Linked DNA regions of Pelodiscus sinensis. The protein of the gene in region 1 interacts with the protein of each later gene in a pairwise test. Links are inferred from orthologs where the notes say so. Each region holds a gene or a part of one and is shown on either strand. Other genes may lie near its edges.

The links.
Region 2: the proteins of NAB2 (region 1) and PHOSPHO2 interact in binary tests that used the Homo sapiens proteins (3 or more experiments, as listed by UniProt). The two-hybrid records come from large-scale screens. The link is inferred for Pelodiscus sinensis from reciprocal best matches to the Homo sapiens genes NAB2 and PHOSPHO2.

The regions. Positions count from the first base shown.
Region 1 is NC_134729.1:3,397,171-3,401,381, forward strand, and holds the start of NAB2 (NGFI-A-binding protein 2), read right to left. Parts: upstream 2,937-4,211; 5' UTR 2,767-2,936; coding exon 2,703-2,766; intron 286-2,702; coding exon 1-285. UniProt on the Homo sapiens protein: Acts as a transcriptional repressor for zinc finger transcription factors EGR1 and EGR2. Isoform 2 lacks repression ability.
Region 2 is NC_134717.1:39,921,404-39,925,614, forward strand, and holds the start of PHOSPHO2 (pyridoxal phosphate phosphatase PHOSPHO2), read left to right. Parts: upstream 1-1,652; 5' UTR 1,653-1,783; exon of another isoform or gene 1,784-1,846; coding exon of another isoform or gene 1,847-1,913; exon of another isoform or gene 1,914-2,598; 5' UTR 2,599-2,744; intron 2,745-3,465; 5' UTR 3,466-3,487; coding exon 3,488-4,211. Other genes in the region: CFAP210 (cilia- and flagella- associated protein 210), read right to left, coding at 1,847-1,913. UniProt on the Homo sapiens protein: Phosphatase that has high activity toward pyridoxal 5'-phosphate (PLP).

The sequences.
Region 1 (4,211 bases):
TGCTGACGGGCAGGGAGGCCATGGGCTGGCTGAAGAGGCCGGGGTTGGAGGCCCACTCCCTCAGGGCCTTCTGCAGGCGCCGGACGTGCAGGGGCTTGGTGGCCATGCCCACCAGCGCCATGATCTCCAGGAACTCCTCCTCGCCCGCCTCGCACAGCTGCTGCACGTCATCCCCGCCCTGCTGGATGAAGGTCTCGTAGTAGGAGAGCAGGTTCGCTCGCTGCAGCACGCGGTACAGCTGCAGCTCGCCCAGGGTGCGGGGCAGGGCCATGGCGAGGGGCAGGCCTGTGAGGGGAAGAGGGGACATCAGGGCCAGAGCAGGGCGATGGGGGGAGGCGAGCGGAGAACCAGCGGCCGCTTCCCCGCACTGCCTGGCCGCAATCCCCCACTGCGCTCTGCACTGCACCCCGCCAATTCCTCCACCCTCGCCTCCCTGCACTGCATGGCTGCAATCCCACACTGCATTCTGCACTGCACCCCGCACTGCACCCCGCCGATTCTCCCACCCTCGCCTCCCTGCGCTGCATGGCCGCAATCCCCCACTGCGCTCTGCACTGCACCCCGCCAATTCTCCCACCCTCGCCTCCCTGCACTGCATGGCTGCAATCCCACACTGCATTCTGCACTGCACCCTGCCGATTCTCCCACCCTCGCCTCCCTGCGCTGCATGGCTGCAATCCCACACTGCATTCTGCACTGCACCCCGCCAATTCTCCCACCCTCGCCTCCCTGTGCTGCATGGCCGCAATCCCCCACTGCACTCTGCACTGCACCCCGCCAGTTCTCCCACCCTCGCCTCCCTGCGCTGCATGGCCGCAATCCCCCACTGCGCTCTGCACTGCACCCCGCCAATTCTCCCACCCTCGCCTCCCTGCACTGCATGGCCGCAATCCCCCACTGCATTCTGCACTGCACCCCGCCAATTCTCCCACCCTTGCCTCCCTGCACTGCATGGCTGCAATCCCGCACTGCACTCTGCACTGCACCCGCCCAATCTTCCCGCCCTGCGCCTAGCACCCTCGCCTCTCTGCACTGCATGGTGCAATCCCGCACTGCTCCCTACACTGCACCTGCCCAATTTTTCCATCCTGCACCTAGCACCCTCACCTCTCTACACTGCATGGTGCAATCCCCCACTGCTTTCTGCACTGCACCCTGCCAGTCCTCCCACCCCGCGCCTAGCACCCTCACCTCCCTGCACTGCACGGCTCCAATTCCCCACTGCTTTCTGCATTGCACCCCACCAATATTCTTTCCCTCACCTCTTCATGGTTCGTGGCTGTAACCCTCCACTGCATTCCACACTGCATCCCCCCCCCAAACCCGTTGCACCCTCCCCCCCACGTCCACCAGCTTCCCAGGTCTGCATCCAGCATCCTCACCTCCTTGCACTACAGGGAAGCAACTTCCCACTGCACTCTACCAACCTCCCTGCACTGCATGGCTCTAAACCCTACCCCTTCCCACTGCACCCAACCAACTTCTCTGCACTGTACCTAGCACCCTAACCTTCCTGCACTGACTTGCTGCAACCCTCCTCGTCACGCTGCACTGTTCTCCACCAGCTTGCCCGTTCCCCTCTGCACTGCACCTGCCCAATTTTCCCACCCTACACCTAGCACCCGAGCCTCCCCGCACTGCATGGTTGCAATCCCTGCTGCACTCTGCACTGCACCCCGCCAGTCCTCCCACCCTGCGCCTAGCACCCTCACCTTCCTGCACTGCGGGCAGCAGCCTCCCCTCACTGGATTCCACACTGCACCCTACCAGTGTCCCCCCCAACTGCACCCAGTACCTCCTTCACACTCTCCCAGTGCCATCCAGCCCCCCCCCCCCAGTATTTTTGCAGAGGGCTCTCGCTAAGGGGCAGTGCCCCATGTCCTCAGAGAGAATCCTGCTTTTCTCAGTGCCACTGGGACCTGAGATACACATGGCTCCAGATGGCGAGAATGCCGCCCCCCCCCCGGGTGCCAGCACCCCAAGGAGCCGGGGCAGTTGGCAACCAGCTTGGAGAGCCTGATCCACTGATCACCCCTCTCCACAGCCCCCTGGCCAGCCCCACTCCCACGCAATCTGGAGGGTCTTTCTCCTTCAACCAAGAGACATCCCCGCACCCAGCCTCTGCCCCCTCCCCCGGAAATGTCTGTGTGGCAATGCCCCCCCCCCCAGACAGGGGTGCTGGGGGTACATGGCAGCTCCATCCCTGAATGGGGAAGGAAGAAGACCCCAGCCCCTCCCCCATCCACTTTCCCCAGCATCCCAGATCCCTGCTCAGGTGCCTTATTCCCATCCCCCCAGGCCCACATCCCAGCAAGACGCTCTGAGCAGTGTGTTGGGGGGGGGGGGGGTACAGTCCCGAGACCCCCCCCCCCCCAGCTCTGCTCTGACTTTGCTGGTCAACTAGCCCCTCCCCCAAGCCCAGTGGCACTCTGACCAGCTCCTACCCAAGCTTCCCTCCCCAGGACCAGACCGACCCCCCCCCAGCTCACCTCCTGCCCCTCTTCCTGCCCCCTGTGCCCCCAGCACTGCCCCTCCCCCACTCCTCAATACCCGAAATTATCCTGTGCCTGCCCCCCAGCGCCAGCCAGCACCCCCCCCCTCCCGTGCCAACCCCACTTCCAGCCCCCCGCCCCCGGCTCCCCCCTGCCAGGCCCCACCCCGCGCCAGCCCCCGCCCCCATGTGCCAGCCCCCCCTCGCTTACTGGCCTGGCTGGAGCTGCGCCCGGCCGCTCTCGCTCCCAGCTCCGCGGCGCCTCGCCCGGGCATGGACGGCGGCGGGGGGCCGGGCGGGGGCTCTCCGGGGTCCCCGCTGCCCCGGACCGGCTGGATCGCGCCGCGCTCCCGGCTCGGCACCGGCCGCTCGCTCGCTCGCTGCCTCCGCCGCTGCGCTCTGCGCGCCGCCCACACGCGATTTACAGAGAAATAGCAGCGCCCGGCTGCGCGGCGCGGCGCGTGGGAGGCTCCGGGGGCGGGACCCAGCGGCGCCTCCCTCCGCCGGCCCCCGGAGCGGGCCGGGCCGATCGGCCGAGGGGTCGGAAGCGGGGGGCGCGGGGCGCAGGCCGGGGGGAGCGCAGGGGGAAGAGGGCGGGTGTGGGGGAAAGGGCGCAGGGGGAGTGGGCGCCCCGGGGGGAAGGGAGAGGGGGCGGGGGACGGATGAAGGGGGGGATCCCAGGGGGAGGAGTCCGGAGGGAAGGGGCGCAGGGAGAGTGGAGGGCCCAAGGGGAAGAGGGAGGCGCGGGGGATGGGGCCCAGGGGAAGAAGGGTGCGGGCTGGGGGGGACCCAGGGGGAGGAGGGTGCGGGCTGGGGGGGGCAGGGGAGGAGAGTGCGGGCTGGGGGGCGCAGGGGAAGGAGGGTGCGGGCTGGGGGGGGCAGGGGAGGAGGGTGCGGGCTGGGGGGCGCAGGGGAAGGAGGGTGCGGGCTGGGGGGGGCAGGGGAGGAGGGTGCGGGCTGGGGGGCGCAGGGGGAGGAGGGTGCGGGCTGGGGGGGGCAGGGGAGGAGGGTGCGGGCTGGGGGGCGCAGGGGAAGGAGGGTGCGGGCTGGGGGGGGCAGGGGAGGAGGGTGCGGGCTGGGGGGCGCAGGGGGAGGAGGGTGCGGGCTGGGGGGGACCCAGGGGGAGGAGGGTGCGGGCTGGGGTGTGCAGGGGGAGGAGGGTGCAGGCCGGGCCGAGCGCAGGGGGAAGAGGGAGGGCGCGGAGGAAGGGACATAGGGGAGAAGGGTGCGGGCTGGGAGGGTGCAGGGGGACGAGGGTGTGGGCTGGGGGGCTGAGGGGAGGAGGGTGTGGGCCAGGCGGAGCGCAGGGGGAAGAGGGAGGGCGCGGGGGATGGGGCCCGGGGGAGGAGACGGGGAGGAGGGAGGGCACAGAGGAAGGGACATAGGGGAGAAGGGTGCGGGCTGAGGGGAACACAGGGGGAGGAGGGGGGGCACAGAGGAAGGGACATAGGGGAGAAGGGTGCGGGCTGGGGGGAACACAGGGGGAGGAGGGGGGGCACAGAGGAAGGGACATAGGGGAGAAGGGTTGCGGCTCCCCTCTCATACCCCTCAATACCCAGGTGGGGTGGGGGGGCCTGGGCAGTGCCTAGGCCCCCCCACCAACGGGCTCAAAGCTGGGGCTCAGTCTTAGCCTGGTACGCAGTGCAGCATCCCCCCTATATATCGCTTCCCCCCCCCCGTGAGAAGAACCCCTTCATGGCTGGGGTGCCATTGCCAGAGC
Region 2 (4,211 bases), on another chromosome or scaffold:
AGTGGGGAGCCGCCATTTTTAAAACCCCGCTGGTTCGAACCCCGTGCAGCGCGGCTACACGGGGCACGAACTACCGTTACTCCTCATTTCACGAGGAGTAACGGTAGTTCGAACTAGGAAGCCTAGTTCGAACTACCTAGTTCGTGCCCTGTGTAGCTGCGCTGCACGGGGTTCGAACCAGCGGGGTTTTAAAAATGGCGGCTCCCCGCTTATGCACATGAAGCCCGGGAAATTCAAATCCCGGGCTTAATTTGCAAGTGCGGTATGCCTACATTACCCCGCTAGTTCGAACTAGTGGGGTAGTGTAGACATACCCTAAGGCAGCAGCGTAGAGGGGACCAGAGGAGACTCCCCGTGGACAGAGGCTGCTCTGCCTCCCATGGAGCAGCAACTGTCCATGGCAAGCCTGGGCCTGCTGCGGACAGAGGCTGGTCCCTGGCAGCAACCCTATCCACGGGGGATCCGTGCTCCCCATGGACAGAGGCTGCTCCAGCCTCTGTCTGCAGGATGCTCAGAGCTCCTGTGGACAGGGGCTCCTACGACCCCATGCTGTTGCCTTTGTTTCTGAGACAGCAGTGCAAGGTGGCAGGTAGCCAGTCTAAGCAGAGAATTGGTTTTTAAACTGGCTCCCCTCGTGGACTGTCTCCCACCTGGCACCCTGTGCTGCTACCTCTGATACAGAGACAGAAGCATGGGATGGCAGGGGCACCCCGGGAGTGAGGCCGGAGTGCACTGGCTGCTGGTCCCACCCTGGGGACTATCGAAGAGTTGTGTAATGGATAAGAATTCATGCAGCTACATAACTATTCAATTACCCGATATCCAGCCTTCCTAGTTCTTTGTTTACAATATTTGTTGCCATTTTTGAAGGGTCACCCAGGAAAGGAATGGATAAAGGGGGTTGCACTGTATTTCTCCTGCACTTTTCTTGGATGCCAAAATAGGAGCCCAAGGACTCATTTGCAGTGAGAAGAAAGAAAGGTGCACATTCTCTTTTATGCACTCCACATCGGATTCCTCTTTAGGCTAAGCATCATTCTAACGTGTTAGTTCCAGAACTTCTAATATTGGGTGCGCAAGACACCCTCTGTGGGCTGCATCCAGCCTGCCAAGCCCTCTGATCGTGCCCACTGCCACTCTCCAACCCCCAGTCCAATTAAGACCTAGGGATGGGGGAGTGGCAAAGTCCCTTCTCTCCACCCCCACCAGGGGTGCGTGGCACCAGAAGGAACCAGCAGTTTTTAAAACGGGTGCCTGTTTTCTCTAAGCACCACCTGCCCCTGGCAGGGCAGGGGTGACAAAGATTTCATGCACTCTCCCACTCCCAGGCCAATCCGGGTCTGTGGGTGAGGGAGAAGAGTGAAGTCTCCTGGTCTCATCCCTTCTGTGCAAGGCCCCGCTCCTTCTGGACCACTTCTGAAATTCATGAAGTGCCCCCCCCCCCCACTCCTGTTCCAATGCATCTCTTGTGTCGTGCATCATCGCCGCCTTCCTTGTGCCTGGCATGTCAGCCCCGTGTCCGGACACCACCGCCTCAGACATGTAGGTGCCAATCGCCGCCAATCCGCCCCTCTCCGCACTAGCCACCCGCGGCCTTCGCCCCCACGTAACGCCAGGGCGGAGTCTCCCCTCCCTTCGCGGCAGGGCGCTGCGCGTGGGAGCCAGCTGGGCTCCAGGGAGAAATCGGGGCCCCGGGGTTGCGTGGCGCATTTGCAGGGGCCTGGGCGCGCACCAGGTCGCAGGTCCAGAGGCGGCCGCTGCGCCCCTGGGGCACCACGTCCCGGTACCGTCCGTCCGCGTGGCCCCGCCACTCGCGTGTCCGCCCCGGCCGCCTCGTGTCACTCACGCGCGGGCCCTCGTCTCTGGCCTTTGCGCCGCCCGAACAGCGCCGCGGGCCGGGCGGCCGCCTCCATAAGCCAGCAAGCCGGCGCCTTGAGCGGGGCCTGTGTACGGCGGTTACCAGGCAACCGAGGGGGGGGGGGAAGACGGCGCGACAGGCCAAGAGCTGCGTCACGTGACTTAGCGGAGGGGGCGGGGCCGGAAGCGGCTGGCCGGACTGCCGGGGCGCAGCAGCGCCTGCCCAGGTCTGGCGCCTCCGCTCGGTGCCGGTGTAGCGGCTCCGCCCCGCCTGTGCTCTCGGGCCCGCACTGAGCTTGGGTCCGCTTGCGGTTCCTGTGCCCGCCCAGAGGCAGGGGGTGAGCGACCCGCGCGGGGCCCGCTGCTGCGCGTGACGCTGAGTGACGCCGGCTGCTGCCGTTAGCGCGAGCTGCGGCTGCCCGGACCCCTGGGCGTAGCTGAGAACGGGGATCCCGGCGCTCCCGCTGCGCCTGTCCCTGCTGTGCGGGGCGCTGTTCTGTTGGGGGTGCGGGGGATGCCGAGTGATGTTGTCTGATGCGCTGCTCGACATCTGTGTTGTAAATGCGCTTTATCGAGCTGTTGGGGCTGACAGGAGAGAGACCCTATTTATTTTGAGTCTGCACATCCTAAACTCAAAAATTTCGGTCAGCTGAAAAAGTGGGCTGTGCCCAGGAAAGCTCATGATACCATCTATGTGTTTGTTATTCTATGAAGTGCTACCAGATCATTTGTTTTTTTAAGTTTATCCTGTACAGATGAACTCCGCCACCCCATGAAGCTTGAGCGAGAGACTTTGAACTCAAGTTCAAATGTTGAAACCCAACCACCCTGGACTTGCCTGGCTTCTTTCTGAATGGGAAAAAGTGATGAGCAAAGTTATTCCCAAGGTAAACAAAATATGTGCCTAGAACTACACTAAAGAAAGGGTGAGCTGTTTCCTTCTCTAGGCTGTTTGGTTACCCCAGGACTTGTCTATAAATGCTAATGCTGTAGAACCACAGTAAATTAAGCTACCTACAAATCTTCCTATAGCAAGTCAACACTAATATTCACCACAAAGGTTATTTGTGTTCTTGATTTTTTGAATCAAGGTGCCTGCTTGAATGTTGTTAGTAGGGTTTTTTAAGTGGAAGAAGAAAATTAGTTAAACTAGCAACAGCAGCAGCTACAAATGGCTCTTTCAAGGTTTTCATAAAATGCTTCCATCTCCTGTCAGAAAGCTGAAGAATTTCAGTCTTGAGGGTTGCTTTGATTGACCATGTGGATAAAAAAAAAAATTAGAATTAGAACTGTAGTGCAGCCAGATTGTTTAAATTGAACTTGTGTTAGTGAAGACTGAGTAATAAACATGTTGTTTCCAATACTCCTTTATACTATCTAATTAAGAATGTAGCTGGATAGTGAATTAGACTTTTGACCTTTACAGATCATCTGCTCACTTGAGCACAGCCTTTCCCATAGCTGTAGTGCCCAGAAACAGCCATGTTTATACATTTGTCTTGACTCTTTTTTGTGGTAGACTTGCCCTTTTCAAAGCAGGAGGTCGTGATAGGAATTTAATATTTAGTAGAAGCTTCTGATTATATAAACAAAATGTTTTTTTTCCAGCATATATTCTTATCTAACAACTATGAAGTTACTGCTGGTTTTTGACTTTGACTATACGGTCATAGATGAAAATAGTGACACCTGGATTGTGAAATGTGCTCCTGAGGAAAAACTGCCTAACAAACTAAGAAATTCGTATAAAAAAGGACATTGGACAGAATACATGGGCAGAGTCTTTAAATATTTGGGAGACAGTGGCGTAAGAGAAGATGAAATGAAAAGAACTATGACAACAATTCCTTTCACTACAGGAATGAGAGATCTTTTAGGCTTTATTGGCAAGAACAAAGATTTCTTTGATTGTATAATAATTTCCGATTCTAATACAGTATTTATTGACTGGATTTTAAAAGCTGCTAACTTTCATGCAGTGCTTGATGAAGTGTTTACAAATCCTGCAGCTTTCAGTGGTGCTGGCTATCTTACTTTGCAGAATTTTCACACTCATCATTGTGCAAAGTGCCCTAAAAATCTCTGCAAAAGAAAAGTGTTGGAAGAATTTGTGGATAAAAAATTACAGGAAGGAGTAAAATATACAAAAATTATATATGTAGGTGATGGTGGGAATGATCTTTGTCCAGTAACTTTTTTGAAGAAGAATGATATTGCTATGCCCAGACAAGGGTATACCTTACAGAAAATGATTTCTCAGATGTCTGAGGATCTTGATCCTGTGCAGTCTTCTGTTCTAGTTTGGTCATCAGGTATTGAAATTCTGTCTCATTTGAAATTACTTATAAAAGAAT